2 linked regions of the Arabidopsis thaliana genome follow. The protein of the gene in region 2 interacts with the protein of the main gene of each other region in a pairwise test. Each region holds a gene or a part of one and is shown on either strand. Other genes may lie near its edges.

Region 1 (9,787 bases), on a different chromosome or scaffold from region 2:
TGACTCTAGGAAGTTTGATAAAGTGATTCTCCATTGTTGGTTGATAGAGATGAGTTCTTCTTGTTGTTGTTTTGGGGAGAAGTTGCAGAGTTGCCTCCATTTCCGTCGTCTGCACCAACTCTTGATTAGGTTTTGGATCGAGAATTCGACATTATCAACTGTTCCGGTGTTGATGATGTTCATCAAAAGATGAAAAGTTTTGGAAGTTGTTGATAGATGATGATATGAGCTTTAAAGGAAGGCAACCATTTTAAACAGTTTTAGGAAATTAATTATTTTTGGAAAGATGGCTTGAAAGGCAAGTAAGGTTGAGATATGATACAAGCTTTATTTATTTCTTAAGTGAAGAAACACACTTGCCAAATCTGAAAGACAATCCTATTAACACAATTTGAAGATAAAAATTCAAACTACAAATGACCAACAGATTTTCAATTAAAAGTTACATATATCAAAAATACTGCAAATAACGTAAAGTTTATTACAAGACTATTCCGTCTTTGACGCCATGAATGCAGAGAGAATTCATTATTATTAGTTCAACGTGGACAACTTTATTTTGAGCCTTTTTTCTCAAGACTTCCATTTCGTTGTTGCATTGACTATGATAGCAAATTAGATCTCTCTTTTACTGATTGCAAAAGTGTGAGAATTTTTTTAAAAACTTGGAGAGATTTGAATCCATGGCAGCTGCAAGTGGAGTGCGTAGGATCAAGCTAGGAAGCCAAGGTCTTGAAGTGTCAGCGCAAGGTCTTGGTTGTATGGGACTTTCCATCTTCGATGGAACTACCAAGGTTGAGACAGATCTCATTGCTCTCATTCACCATGCCATTAACTCCGGCATCACACTCCTCGACACCTCCGACATTTACGGTCCTGAGACCAACGAGTTGCTCCTTGGTCAGGTTTGAATTCGAGATATCCTATGTTTGTTCATACACTATTGAGTTGCCTAGGATTTGAAATTGCTTGGCTATGTGAATGTAATCAGGCTTTGAAAGATGGGATGAGGGAGAAGGTGGAATTGGCAACCAAATTTGGGCTTCTCTTGAAAGATCAGAAATTGGGTTACAGGGGAGATCCAGCCTATGTGAGAGCTGCCTGTGAAGCAAGCTTAAGGCGTTTAGGAGTTAGCTGCATAGATCTTTATTACCAGCATAGGATCGATACCACTGTCCCCATTGAAGTCACTGTAAGCTTTTTCTTGGCAATCTTTCTTCTTTCTTGAATCCTTCAGCTGATTGTTATGGTGTTGTCTTGTCCTGCCATTTCAAAGATTGGAGAACTGAAGAAGCTAGTTGAAGAGGGTAAGATAAAGTACATTGGTTTGTCTGAAGCCTGTGCCTCGACTATAAGAAGAGCCCATGCTGTTCACCCGCTAACCGCTGTGCAGTTGGAATGGTCTTTATGGTCGAGAGACGTTGAAGAAGACATCATTCCTACTTGCAGGTGCAGAATCTTCCGCAAACATCCCTCTTCCTTGATATAATTTTATATCCTCCTCTTGTAATGTTCATTCTTTGCATTACTTTCTCCAGGGAGCTCGGGATTGGAATTGTAGCTTACAGTCCTCTGGGACTGGGGTTCTTTGCTGCAGGACCAAAATTCATTGAGAGTATGGACAATGGTGACTACAGAAAGGCAAGTCCATCACTATATGAATGTTCACCATCTCTTTTAAGTACATTCAAGAAAAGAGCCGAGTATTAAGCACATTCACCATCTCTTAATTTCAGGGTTTACCGAGATTCCAGCAAGAGAACTTAGACCACAACAAGATTCTCTATGAGAAGGTCAATGCAATGGCAGAGAAGAAAAGCTGTACTCCTGCACAATTAGCTTTGGCATGGGTTCATCACCAAGGAAATGATGTCTGCCCAATCCCAGGAACCTCTAAGATCAAAAACCTTAATCAGAACATAGGAGCTTTATCTGTGAAACTCAGTATCGAAGAGATGGCCGAGCTTGACGCCATGGGACATCCCGATTCTGTGAAAGGGGAAAGGTCAGCCACCTATATAGTTACTTACAAGAATTCTGAAACTCCACCACTGTCTTCTTGGACTTCATAAACCATCTGTAATAGTTTTACTCTGCCATCGTGCTGAGCTATGTTCTGAACTACTTTTCATCATCGTCTTTAAGCTACATTATTGTTTGTCTGTTTCTGTCTGAAATTAATGAAACTTTTTAAAAGTAAATCTCTAATAAGGACTGAAGATTCTGCAAACATTATAACAATGAATTGAGACAGGTGACAATGCGTATATACAATGATTTGTGTCACATCACGACTTAAACCATGAAGATAACGTATACGTACCTAGAGGATGATAAATTATTACCTTAACTAGAACTTGTGTTACACATAACCGGCCTCTGAATACCACTCAAAAGAACTGTCACTATACTAATTTAAGCCTCAACAAGAAGATTACAGCAAAAGACTTTTGAGTTCTATCAACCTATGCCGTCTTCTACGAATTGCAAGGAATCCTATGATCGAATTACGGCCAAAGCATTTTGTTCGTATCAAAGAGTTTTACCTTGGCTTTAGAAGGAGTCTAATTCATTCTTCTCTGTCAAATTACCCGAGGGCAAAAGGATTTTACCAATACTGATTGTTGAATCTCATGTTCTGAAGCGGTGTCTGCAGTTGATAAACATTGCCATGTCGTCCACGGAAATACTGCCACGTACCAGGCTCTTGTACTATTTACTTTAGTATCGGTCAAAATCCGGATTTCCCCATCAACTTCTTGGCTCTTGCTTCAGGTGGATGCTTGGTGGAATGTTGTACGATATTGGCTGTGAGACAGGGAAACAATCCACTAAACATCAGGCATGGCCAGCTTCCAAGAGAAATCCTCAAGAGATCAATAAAACTAAAAAACATTAATGGTTTCTATGTTCATATTTATATCTTAATATGTTTCACTTTTTGGGTCAAGAAGCTCTAATTATTTGAGGTCACATGGCGAACTTTTCAGGATTAGCTATTTTGACATATGTAGCAAAATATATTACCTGTGTTGTACTCGACAATAGATTGCTTGCAAGATCATCATTAATTGAAACCGGTAGAGCCGGCATCCGACTCATGATTCCAGGCATCTCCTTCATGCTGCAGAAGAAACTAAGAATTTAGCAATTGAAGGTTTAAATTATAGAAAGGAAGACAGATGAGATGTCTCAATTGTGAAAATTGAATTAGTATTAGATCCACATACTCAGTCAAAATGGCGCTGATATTGTTTCTTGCCTGATGAAAGAGACTGATGTTATCCTGCAGCTGTATGCACTAAGTTAGCATATCTATGTGCGAATTACTTTGCAAAAGGAAACAGTATCAAATTATTTTCTAAAGAATAACTGAGCATGTAGGAAATCTGGTATACAATGTTTGATCAAACTTGTATGACAGTTTCAGTCTGTCAATCTTCTCGCACAACTAGCCACAAAGGATTGCAAGTATAAATTACCTTGCACGCAGAGAGGTTGTAAGAAATCTGACTAAAAGCTTGAGCATTTTGCTGTAGAAGATCCATTACTGCGTCACTTAAACCTGCGAATAGTTCAACAAAAGTACCTAGCTGACAATTTGATTTTGTTTATTTTTAAGACCACACAACCCAGAAGAAGAGCAAAGAATTAAAAGAGCACTAGACCTTCGAAAGGCGTGCGTGTACTGTGGCACATATTGTTCAGGACATATAAAGCATTTTGTTGTGGCACATTGGATAGCATGTTCAGTTCTGGGGATGTATCCACCACCTTACCATGAAGAAGCATGGTCTTTAGAACCAAGTTTAAAAGCATATTGATCTACAGAAGTTCATAAGACCCAGGAAGGAGAATGTGCATGAAATGAAACACACACACTAACCCTTTATCAAATGTCATAACAATCACTAGATTACCTTATAATTATCATTATAAACATGCCCACAAGCTCAGATACTCATAAGTAATATATGCTAATACTTCTGCAGAGTTGGATCAACATCATTTGCTGCTCGTCAGTCATTGAAAAATCGATCACAAACTTTATTGATTGTCCAGTCATGCAGACAGTCCTTTTTCTTAGTCAGGAACTAACAAAATATGTTCTCATGAAAAGTCCACCATACAAGCAATTTAGCCAATTACAGTTTCTTCGTTGAAAAATACCATCGTTAGCTCAGACTTGCATGAATAAAAGTCACATCTGTGGGAAAATCCCGTTTAACCCAAAACGTAAATGAGGCACCTACCTCCATCGACTTATTAACTGGTAAATACGACACAAGAAAGGTTGAGGTGGGCAAGCATACCTTCCTAGTGCTAATGTTCTTAGCGGCATTATTATCCTCTCGTTTCCTCCGTTTTCTCTGTGAAAATAGATACCCGACTTAGCCAAGAGAACTTTAAAGACCATGATAGATATCTGGTGGCAAACAAGCACTAAATTAAAAGAAAACGGAGTAATTTTGCAGCTTTATGTTTGATTACATCATATATCTGATTGAAAACTCAAGTCAATTATGAAAGGACAGAGACATGAAGGAGATGGAAATATGATGATAATAAAGCATTGTACATTTGTACTTCATTAATTCATTTCATTATTATGCAAACAATTAACATTATGATGTATGTAAACTCATGCTGCGAGCAATATAATCATTTTAAAAAAAAAACCATAAAAGTATAGGGATCAGTCTCAGCCATCACCCGTAAAAGTAAAATCTATGTGAGGATAACTACAGAAATAATTAACAAAAAGCGTTAGGCTTATTTCCTTTTCCAATAATTCCTCCACAATCATGGACTCGAAAGCTAATATAAAGACTAATCTAGCGTCAGCAATACTTGTCATTTTCTCTTTTTGCTCGTCCTTTACCAGTGTTTAGACAATCTTTACGACATGTCAATGACTTTTCATCAATAAAACCGCTAGCTTTTTTTGTAGGACTTTATCTTTATCACAAAGCACACACGCAAGATTGCATCATCATGCTGATTCCCTCATATTTAGCATATGCTTTTAACAGTGACAGAAATATCCTTCAACAAAAATCCTTCCATAACAGCCACATACCACTTGAAAAGGAATGCTAGAGACAACTAAGTAATTCCCTAGCAAAAGAAATATCCTTGAGAGACGTCTAGAGTGGTAATTTTTCTTGTCATCTAAGCAAAAGCACATAAACAACAGGAAGTATGCACATAGCTCAAGGAAGCTTAACCAACTTACCGTCATCCATCTACACCTCAATGCTACATCCCTTACAGTTTTATCCGGTAGAGTTGCAGCGATCTTTACATACTTTGAAATTTTGGGTTCATCTTTTAATCTACAAACGGAAAAAAAATAAAGATGTCATAAATGCAAACAAATAGAACAAACAAGCTACAGACTCTAGAAAACCAAAGTAACCAGGAACAACCTCAGCTAGAAAATCGATAACTTAACCCGAACTTACTAATGGTCCCAGTCCCAGAAAACAATGTCATGGAACACACAAAGGCGATACTTTTATAATCAGAAGGAACAAAGGAACATACTTTAATAGTCCACCATTGAGAATATAATGTTCCCACTACTACTTTTCTGATAAAACAATTCCCGATTTCAACTTTTATGTATTGTTATTGTAAAAATATAAGCATAGTTTGAAAAGCTACGAATGAACAAAGACACATTTAGGATATTAAAAAAATAAGAAATGGAAATATCCAAAGAATTAAGCAGAAACGAAGATACCTACTTTGCAAGGCCGTTCTCCAAAACATACTGTTCCTCAACGGACCAATCCATAACCAAAGCAGCTTCTTGTTTGACTCCTGCAGCCACTGAACCCGAAGCATCCACAGCTGGGTGAAAACCGGAGGAAGCGTTAATCGCATTAACACCGTAATTGGTCGGGAATACAAGACCGGTGGTGCTAGTACTTGGCAAGCAGTGATTATCCATTGGAATCATTCGTGGAGATTTGATAATTGAAGCTGATTTGAGCTACGATGATGCCCCCAAAGATATCAAATTTAGGGTTTTAGCAAATCCAGAAACAAATAAATGAAACAAAACACAGCTGAAAGAATAAAAAGATGAGAAACCCACCTCAGATTTGGCATCAACAAAGAAGATAGAGTAAAACTTTAATCAGGGGCAGTGATGGTAATTAGGGATGTGACCGACAAGAGAGAACGCAAGCAAACACCTCCGAGCAGTAGAACTGAAGATTATAAAGGATGTGATGTGAGAAGAAGATCGATCAGAGAGTGGCAGCTAATTGCGAACTCCAATGGGAGAAAATCGAGAGAGAGAGAGAGAGAAAGAATGAAAGAGAGAGTGTGTTTGTTTAGTAGTAATTGGCTGTGTTGTTTGTTTCTTGCAGAACCTCTTTGTTGTATTCATACTCCTTTGCTTTCTTTTCTTTTGGCCTCTTTTTTTTTTTTTTTTTTTTTTTTTGCCTCCAATTCCTTTTTTTCCATATTCTTCTTGGTAATAAAATTTTTATAACTAGCGAATTAAAATTGTATTGTTAATTTTTAATTTTAGTTAACAATTAATCACTTGCCTTTAAGTTTATCTTTAGAGTTTAGAGATATCAAGGCATCAATATGTAGATATCAATCTAGATTTGGATGGAGATCTTGGCATATTATTAATATTAGTTAAAATTTAGATTCATTTTCCGATTGTAACTAAACATCGAAAAAAGAAAAATTTACTTCTATTAGTATAGTGGTAGGCGTCAGAGTGACCCATGACATCTGAGTGGGAATTTATATACAAAATAGTTTTACCTAAATATTCATTTAGCAGTACTATTAAACATTCCTAGTTAATACTAATCTAAACCCACTTGTTGGATCGAACTCACACATAGTGGTTACAGAGTGTTGAGCCAAAATAATCGAGAAATGAAGAAGAGTCAAGTATCACAAACAATATGGCTTTTTGTATACATTTGTTCCTTAACAAGTCTTTATGAACACTGCAGGAAACAAACAAACATAAATGACATATAATTTACCAATGAAGCCTAAAGCATGACATATAATTTACCAATGAAGCCTAAAGCTTGCACCTTGCATTAGCGGGTGAGCAAAATATGCCCCAACCGTTAACGCAGTGATTGCAAGATATGGCAACCTGACAAATTCTTTGTAGTAATCCTCAGGTAAAACTTGCCGTCCTTCGAAAATGGCAGCAAATGGAATCACACTTGTTCTCTTCTTGATGCTTTCAAAATCCTCTCCATATCTTTTTGCCAATCTCCTGTCTCCATTCCACGCCCCAAACAAATGGTGTGCAATCAAACCGAGAGAAGCTGATGCAGCTACTGTGTTTCCGATCCAGAGAGTATGTGCTAAACACCAAACGATTTGTCCAACCATCTGGAGAAGATCAGAGGAGAGAGGTGCAACAATCAAGTCTCATTAACAAAGCCAGTATAATGAAGAGAGAATAGAACAAACCAAAACTGAAGCTAAAATGCCTATCTTTCTATATATTATCAAGTTTTTCCAAACACATGATGAAGCAATTGGATAAGAATTTTAAGATCAAAAGCAATATCAAGTAAAGTAATCAAGCATTGATGTAATAAACATAGAAGGATGAGGAGATTTGATTGTGCTGATGTAATGGGTGTATTTAAGTCAATGGCCAATACCTGCCCATAATTGATTCAATGATTGGGGGTCTCATTAACACAGCCACTAATAAACCTTGGCTCATAAAAATCCAATCTTTCTGTATTTTTGAAACACAAAAATGAAGGAAATTGTCTTCATGTTTAGGCACATTAGGGAAATGTTCAAAACCTGAGGATGTCGAGTGATTCTCATGATGCCGGTCTCCCAGAGATGCATCTTCGGTTTGTCAACAGCTGCTACCTCCAGAAGATTGAAGGTTGAAGGATAGAGAAAGAAGAAGGATACAAAATTAGCGACCCAAATAGCTTCATGGACTCCAGGAACACCCTGAAGCTGCCATAACTGTGACCCATCATATCTATGGTTTATAAAGTAAACCTGAAAGAAGAACAAGGCATTGCATAGACCATAAGAGACATCAAACAGGTATTTATACCATTGATCAGGAGAAAAATTGCAGAGTTAGAAGAGAGAGTACTCACAATGGTGCTCATAGCTAAAGGAAGAGAGATTCCAGCAAACAAAACACGAAATGCTCGTTCACCTATAAGTTTCTCTCCTATATCCCTTAGACTAGCTAAACCACTATGTACAATTGCAAATATAAGGATAAGCATTAACATAGCAACCTGCAAAAACAAGTGGTTTTTAACAATCAAATAACTGAAATTGAAACTGGTTCAGTTACTGTTAAATTGATCTATACCTCCGGTGAGCCGGAGATGTTAGAGACGGCGTCGATGAATGATTTTCCGAAACCGGTGGAATTATCGATCCAAACAACATTGAGGATAAAGAGAACAACTCCAAGGACAACACCGAAATAAACCCAGGAAACAAGCTTCTGTTTCCCTAATTCAAAAGCAGCAGAATCTTCACCGATCAGTAGAGTAGGACTACTCTCGGAGTCAGAGGCGATGGGTTGGTCTTCCCGGAGAGTGCTACGAACCAGAATTTTCCGAATTACCGGTGACGAAGAAGAAAGCAAGCTGGTCGAGTTTCCGAGGCGAGGATGAGCTGGGATACGGCGGATTAAGGTGAGGTTAGGGCGGCGAGGAGAAGGAGGGAGAAGAAGAAGCGAAGGTGGGCTCGAGAGAAGGAGATGATAAACCGCCATTGTTCTTGTTGGTAAACAATCTTTCGAAGAGGAAGTAATAAAAAGATGTCGTTTTTAAATTTCTTCAAACAATCGTCCGAAGAAGAAATAATAAACGTTGTCGTTCAAGGGATTTAGCGATGGAACTAACACTACAACTATAATAAAATCTCTATAAATTAGATTTTTTACTCTTTTGATTAGGATTTTGATAACTATGTATAATTTGTTGTAAGGCAATCAGAGGTCCAATACAAGATAAATCTTTCAAAACTTCAATAATTTTTCATTATGCATAAGAATAAAGATTTTTTTTGAAAAGCTTGTAAATTAAATTACTTCACAACAACAAAAATAAAAACAAAAACATCCACGAAAAACAAATATAGGATCCATTCTACCACCAAGTCTTTCACTTTCTGACTCAAAAAACAAAAACTTGGGTAGTCTTTGCAATCAGTTGTCGTGCAATGCTTTGGTCAGGTAAAGCCTGCTGAAGTTCTGGCCAGCCACTCTGCATAACAACAGGTCGACTCATTTTAAGTATCTTTCAAAGCTCCAAAAATGGTGAAACAATACTAAAGAGGAACATACCCATTGATTTGGCCACAGAAGTTTGAGACTTGGTTTGTGATGAGGAAACTCTCTAGCCTAGATGGTTCAGGGATCGCCTTAAAGATTGGGTTTGAAGGATCCTCTTCTGGTAAAGGCTCCTCTCCAGCTGATTTACGAGCCATGTTCTCCGTTCTATAAACCAAACACCTCTTTCATTAGTTGGAAGATCAAAAGGACAAGGAAAAGCTGAAGACAAATGTTACAAGGCATTCACAACTCTCGTAAGTAAAGTTGTATCACCTTCCAAGATAACGAGGTAGTGAAACTAATCAAACCTGAACTAGAACAAAAAGGTTCTGCAGAAAATATAAACCTACCTTCTCTTCTGGAGCCAGGCTTGCTGTTGTGCTTGCTGACGAGACAGGTTCCGGTAGTAATACTGGAACTGGAGAAATAAATTAAGATTTTGCGTTAAGATAGTTCGGACTT
Region 2 (7,249 bases):
AAATTAAGATTTTTTTTTTCACATTTCCCCCCCCCCCCCCCCCCCCCTTCTGTTATACTCTCACATCGTGACCGAGTATACAGCCCCGGTTGAATGTTGTTCGTTTTCCAAAGTCAACATGTTCTTCATGTTTGTCCTTAGTATGAAATTTCTGATTAGAGCCATTGACCACAACAAGGGTGTTACTTATGAATTTGTTTACTAGCAGAACTGAATAATTTGCATATTACCTAGATGTAAAAAGGAAGACTATACATTTTGATGAGCTTTTCTTTAAATTGAAAAGAAACAACAAGAAGAAAAAGTAAAGTGAAAAAGGATTATGGAGGAAAATAAAGTTAATAAATGGCGTAATGTTCGTGAAAAGGATATTTGATGCCAAAAGACAGAAACGAAAACAAGAACGTGCTTTGATACGCATTATGCTTCTTCTTTTTCTAAGTCTACTTCTTTTGAACACCTTCTTTTTCTATTGTGTATTATGTTAATCCTTGTTAAGGATACTCATTTTGCAAATCAATATATTACTGTCCTGTTTTACTTAGATATCTATAAGAAAAAAGTTTCAAAAATCGAAACCGTTATAATTTTGTGTAAACAAAATAAAAATCAAAATAACGTAGCTCACTACGAAAAGTAACAATGTAGTTGTATACTATACAGACGTGACGTAAGCATTCAAGAAGACGACTTTCATATTAGTATGTTAGTTAGTGGTTAGGTCGCATATCCCATTGAGGTGACCAAATCCATAGTGACGAAGTAACCAAAGTGATTAATTTATATAAAGAACGTTCTGAGTGTTACTAAATAGACATATATAGAAAGGTGTCAATACAAAAATTCTCAGTTTTATGATCCAAACATATTATAAGTTATACGGCTATTATTGATTGACCTTTCATTGGGTTCCATTCAAACGCCTCATCAAAAGTGGAGCCACGAAAAAAAAATAACAAATTGAATTGTGTGATGCCACTTTCGTTAAAAATATATATGGTTCATCATCTTCATCGATGAATGTCATAGGTGGTGTTAGAATTATATCGACTCCAACCGACCTACATTATTAAGTAGTATCTTAGGGTTTTATTCCCGCATGCAAAAAATAAATAAGGTTCGGATGCTCTTAAAGTGACTATATATAGTATATACTATTCACTATTACTGATCAAATCAAATTAATATATGGAGATAGAGTAATCATATTACGTAGTTAGTAGTTACTTACTGTTCGTGATTAAAAAGTGAGCTTTTCTTTTATATTCTCAAATTTTTTAATTAGAAAACTAAAAGCTTTCAAATTTATAACAAAGCGATTCAATATAACTTCTCTTTATTTGCACAAAAATAAGTATCTTTAACGATTCGTTCATCCAATGAAATTTCCTAAATCACTTTTGTTTATGTTTTTTAATAAATTCCAACTTGACTTCTTTCACAAAAAGAAGGGAAAAAACAAAGCATTATATATTCCTTCTGATATGAAAGAAAACATATATCACATTTTCTAGCTCTTTATTAAATTAACTAAAAGAAATACGGAAAAAAAAAAACATTCTTAAAATAATTTTAAAACAGGAGCTTGTATATATGTTCCACTTGTACTAAACTGCTATTTTTGTTTGTAAAGAGTAATAATATATCCAAGGACACCCTTAATTTATTTATAAACTTAACAAAATTGAGGGAGCAAAGGGTTGGTGTAATAGGTGAAAAGAATGTGATTCTGTGTGCCGAAAGTGGAATGCAGACTCAGCTTCTAATTATATACCGTTTACAAGTTAGTGGTCAGCTTTGCCACCCATACACACACATACAAATATATCCAACCCTCACTTTTTAATTCCTTTTTCTTACATAAAATTCTATACATTCTTTTTGCTAAAGACAATTTCTTACCTTAGAAAACAGTATTTGTGTATAGTTCTGTGATGAATCATTTTAAGAAAATATAAAACGTAAATGAGTAATGTTATACTAATTTATCTACTATCATCGATCAAATGTTCAGGTTTAGAGACAATTTTCCAAGAAAATGACTGACCGTTAAAGTTGCAAGTAAAGCCATAAACCCGGTACTTGGTCCTTTTCACCATTATTGATAGTTTTGGCAAAGAGACATATATACTAGCTAATATATGTTTATTCCATAAATACAAGACATACATATTCACATTCCTCTAATAATGTAACATAACTTTTTAAATAAAACATAATTATGGTTTCGTTGCAATAGTTAAAATTTCAAAATTCTCATTTTCTCGTTTCAAGATCTTGTGAGATACAGTAACCTCCTTCACCGTAAACATTTGCTCCGGAAAACTTAATGGCAGGATCGTAGGAAGAGAAGACCGAGGATAGATTCTGACCAAGAAACATAACTCCCTCCTCTGCATTATCCCTGTCGGTGAACCCTAGTTTCGGCTCGGCCTGTTTTGAGACTAAGCAACCGTGATCAGACGATGGACGGCTAAGATTGGCATTGAGAAGATTGACGGTGGTGATGTCGTGAATGCTAGGCCGTCGTTTGTCTTTCGCACCGGAAAGCTGTCTTTGGTAGTACTTTTGGGCATGACTTGCAACCTGAGTTGGTGTTTTTGATCCCACAAAGTTCCTCGATATGTTTCTCCAATCTCCTTTCCCATACTTGAGAAGCCCTAACAAGAATCTCCTGCAGAAAACAATTAAACAAGGTCTCAGCAAACCAAGAAAACAAAGTAACTTGCAACTCAAGACACCAAAGAAGAGTGAAACAAGGATCACAAAGATTGAAAACTTTGTTCACCTGTGTTCTTCCTCCGTCCATGGAACTCCTTTCCTACGGTCTTGATCAAATCCTCTGGCTCCATTAGGAAGTTTACGATACGCATCAAAGTCACGTGGACTCACAACCTGATCAAATCCACAAGGAGTAACTGAACGGTAACCCGGGATCGGGACAAGTCCTGCTTCGATATCGAAGAGGTCTTCTTCAAGCTTAGAGTATTGCCTCATGACATCTGATATGGTCTTTCCAGGGATCATAGCAGCAACTTTGAACCAGCGATCAGGCGTGTCATCAGCGTAGACAGCAAGAGCTCGCTCAAACTTCTTGTTCTCTTCTTTAGTCCAGCTCGAGCTTTGCAAGCACATCATCTCTTGAACTACAAACCGGTGGTCAGAAGTTGGCACGTGCGAGAGTAGTGGATGCAGAGTCTCCATCGTTTAAAGGCTACGAGATAAAAGTTCTACCTATAAAATAAAGTACTTAATATTTTTCCTCTAATTCTTGGAAGCTTGATTTGTGGGTTTAGTAAAAGACTGAAGCTTCTTATAGGATCTAAAGATATATAGGAATCAAACTGGGAAAACTAACGAATAGTTTAATGATGGAATCAAAGAACCTGATTTAGTGAGAGATTATAGCGTATATTAATTGAAGAATCTGGAAAGAAACACAAAAGACTAAGACTTTGAAGAATCCTTGAGAATCTGCAAAAGTGGGTCGTCAAAGTAATACAAAACAGGCAAAACTCAGATGGTAGAGAGAGATAATCAGTAAGATAGATAGGGAGAGATTGTGAAGCAAAGGGAGAGAAGAAGAAGGTATTTGTGGTTTGTGTTATAAAGAGAAAGAGAGAGTGTAAAAGTTTTAGCCAATGGAACCACTCCACTCCCCTACTTGGCTTCATTTTATTCCAAAGAGGATTCTTCACAATGACACGAATTCTAAAAATAACAATAAACTTCAATTATAAAATTCTAACTAGCTACTAGCTAGGCCAACATTTCATATCTTTCCAAAATTTTAATAACCACTAGTATACACCGTTTTTTTTTGTTAGGTAGTTTTTCTCTAATATTATTCAAAATAAAAGCGACAACACATAAAGTTGTTCATACTTAATGATAGTTTACGTGTTATACGTCGGCTATGTCTAAGGCTTAACTAATCATAAAACACACATAAAATAAGGAGAAAAACTTCAAATTTACTAAAAAAAACCAAAAACAATGCGATTGCTTTACTTAACAAAAACAATGCGATTGCTACAAATTGTTTATAGATGTAACTTAATTAATGTTATTCGAGATAACACGTAAGCTTAAACTTAACGACACTTTATTCTTTATGTCTTTTTTTGTATTTCGTACCACTTGAAAATGATACTTCTACGAAATTTCATAAGCCGCCACAAAAACAAGATTGAAAAAGAAAGAATAAATATAATAAATGCAGAAGCGCCTGTAGCTCAGTGGATAGAGCGTCTGTTTCCTAAGCAGAAGGTCGTAGGTTCGACCCCTACCTGGCGCGTTAATTTTAGTTTCTTACTTTTTAGAAAATTACTCCTTAACCTTAAAGGGGTAATTAATTATTGGGATGCGACTAAACCTTTTTTTGCCCACTTTGGGTACTGTTTTTTGTCGTCACTCGCTTTATCTACTTTTTAATTCAAAAAAGATTCTAATCATCAACTCTCACTCAAAAGCCCCTTTCACACACTCCATTGTTGTCGGTGTCCCAAACCTTGTTCTGCTCTCTCGTAATATGCATAGAACTAAATGCTAAATATCTTCTCCTAATGAATGAAAGTGAGAACAATTCTAACACAAACCACTTAAGAATTAGGCAATTCAAAGGTTCATCAACATGATTCTCTACCTGTCTGTTTTTATATAATCCATATTCATAGAACTAACAAAGAACGATTCTTTTGGGTATAACATCAGACAGAGACAGAGGTCAGAGTACAAAAAGGATGGCTTGTAAAATACACTTGAACCTATGTTGTAGTAGGAATAGGAAATGAAGTAGATTGAAGTCTCTGCAACCATGCGATTCTCAAACTGGGCTTCTTCAGCTCTAAGAAGATCTCTCTATACTCTCTCTTCAGAAACAGGTCCAACGCAAACATGTAGAGCTCACTACCTTGTTCGACCTCTTCAATTGCGTTGAGGCTTTTAATGCATTCTCCAATGCTGTACATCGGCTTTGCCGATTCAATCTCAACGAATACCGGACTTTCCTGCAACATAACGTCATTCATTAACTTCATATCATCCAATGGTTGAGCGTTTTCACTGTCTATCCGATCTTCTTGAGACTCTGCATAACAACCATTTTGCCTGGAGGTTTCTGCTTCATCTACGTGCATCTTTGATAATGGAGTTGTGTCACGCCATTGTGGTGATTCAGAACGATTGTGGAGGAGCTTCTTGCGCGAACGCGAAGGAGGAGTGTATGTCTCTCCAGGTTCTATCACTCCGTTGAAAATGATTGCAAGTTGATCAGCATGAGGAACTTCCTTGTGGCGGAATTGTCCTGCTCTTGGGTTTTCCTGTAATAAACCAAAGACAAACACTATCTGTTCAAAATGTAGTCCAATGGGAGAAGGATAATAGTTAAGACAACTAACATTATCATACCCGAATATAGATTCGCCATTCCTCTTCTGTTGCACCAAAGCTACGAGATTCAGGATCCCATTTCATGCTACTTGCTCCAACGAGTTGACACCAGATCTTCCAAGCTTTCCTAGTGCAATCCCAGTGGTTTTTCAGCTGCGGTCTCGTATAACCAAGGCCGGTATTTTCATTAATAGTCCCCAGAATCGTCTTCCACCCTTCCTTGTTAAAATGAGTGTCGGGTCTATTTCCCTTTAAAGTCTCTTGAACCAACAGATCAAGAAACAGCTTATGTGTAGACGGAGACCAATACCCTTTTGTTTGAGGGTTAGATGAACTACACATGCTTTGGTTATCTTCATCTTCTTCCTCGTAACAACTTCTTCGCCTCTTCCTTACACCCGAGACTTCATCATTTTTCACCTCTACATTACAACCCGCAAAGAGAATCTCTAGCTTCTTGAGATCATGCGGAACACTCAACCGATACTGCCCAGCATCAGGATTCTCCTACGGCACAAAGCAATCACATTTTAGCATTTTATAAAATCAACAAAAATGAATGTAACAAGTGGTTTTGATTTGTAAACCTGTAAATAGTTAGCCCAGTCATCATCAGTTGCACGAAACCTGTTGCTCTCAGGGTTCCAATTCATAAAACTAGTTTCAACGAGTCTACGCCATATTTTCCACTGTCTGCTCATTGTATCCCAATGGTTCTTAAGCTGCATTCTATCGTACATGGCGCCTGTTTGCTCCTGAAACGATATCAATATGTTCCTCCAACCTTCTTTCGAAAAATGTGTCCCTGGTTTATTCCCTAGCATCGTTTGCTCCACACATAAATCAACAAACACTCTGTGATACTCAGGCTCCCACACTGCTTTTGGCCTCATTTCTTTTTTAACTTCTGTTCTCCAAAACTCCTAACAATTAAAAACGATACCTTTATCATTGTGAACTCGTTTTTAACAAAAGCACAGAGAGACAGAGACATTTGCATAAACATTAACCCAACAATTCTAGATATTGAACACAAATCATATAAACAAGGCATTGAACCAGAGAACGCAGACGCAATTACTTGAAACGTGTTTCAGGGAAAAATATGATTTTGCGACCTGAGACTTCGCCTACTTCAAAATCCCAGTAGTAACCGAACACGAAAATGGGGAAAATTGCACGAAACCCTAACTCGATTAATCGGGAGACTGAAAAACTACGATAGTGGTTAGGATTTCGCCGGCGGGAATTGGGAAGCTGAAGAAGGGAAAACGTTACCGGGAATCTGATGGAAACGCGACAGCGATTGAGTGGCCACTCTGTGACGGGTGTGGCTGGAAGAAGCCGATCGCGATTTTTCCTCTCTTTCTCTGCTTTTTGCGTTTGCGCCGCGCTGTACGGATTTTCCAAGGCTTTTCTAAGAGTTATGGGCTGGGCCGAGTTCTTTGGTCATGGGTCATAGCCCAATAAATTACACCGGTTCTTGCCTGACTATTTGTTTCCGTTTGAAGAGATACTCTGATTGGTTAAGAGGACACAGACTGTGAGACTGGTTTGCGTTGGGTCCGGTCTTGATTTTGTTCAAATTTCTGCTCGACTTAGATGTTTTTTTTGCTTTCTTATCGAAACATTTTTATAGCTGATTATGTGAAGGAGTTAGGAGAATTGAATATGGGTTTATCGAAAAGGTGATTATTGTTCCAATCAAATATATTTAGGTGACTATCGGCATCATTGATAAGTATAGATATAGTTTGTGGGGGAGGGTGACCACGATTACCAAAATTAATAGGGGACTCCAGCAATAAGATTTGCTTTAAATGGTGCCGACCAAATAATAAATAACATTTGCTTTAAA

What was found.
Region 1: the proteins of AT5G05790 (region 2) and AT1G10820 interact in a two-hybrid assay, tested with the Arabidopsis thaliana proteins (one study listed by BioGRID).

What each region holds. Positions count from the first base shown.
Region 1 is NC_003070.9:3,598,686-3,608,472, forward strand, and holds AT1G10820 (hypothetical protein (DUF3755)), read right to left. Parts: upstream 6,374-9,787; 5' UTR 6,104-6,373; intron 5,999-6,103; 5' UTR 5,966-5,998; coding exon 5,751-5,965; intron 5,337-5,750; coding exon 5,237-5,336; intron 4,371-5,236; coding exon 4,314-4,370; intron 3,775-4,313; coding exon 3,669-3,774; intron 3,566-3,668; coding exon 3,483-3,565; intron 3,293-3,482; coding exon 3,231-3,292; intron 3,125-3,230; coding exon 3,028-3,124; intron 2,809-3,027; coding exon 2,752-2,808; 3' UTR 2,225-2,751; downstream 1-2,224. Other genes in the region: AT1G10800 (voltage-gated hydrogen channel-like protein), read right to left, coding at 1-183; AT1G10810 (NAD(P)-linked oxidoreductase superfamily protein), read left to right, coding at 684-905, 992-1,192, 1,277-1,449, 1,539-1,641, 1,737-2,072; Z-ISO (15-cis-zeta-carotene isomerase), read right to left, coding at 7,051-7,386, 7,816-8,025, 8,130-8,276, 8,354-8,764; TIF3H1 (translation initiation factor 3 subunit H1), read right to left, coding at 9,200-9,257, 9,338-9,490, 9,676-9,743.
Region 2 is NC_003076.8:1,738,468-1,745,716, forward strand, and holds AT5G05790 (Duplicated homeodomain-like superfamily protein), read right to left. Parts: upstream 3,720-7,249; 5' UTR 3,205-3,719; coding exon 2,789-3,204; intron 2,675-2,788; coding exon 2,257-2,674; 3' UTR 2,056-2,256; downstream 1-2,055. Other genes in the region: AT5G05800 (Myb/SANT-like DNA-binding domain protein), read right to left, coding at 4,767-5,321, 5,410-5,898, 5,979-6,284.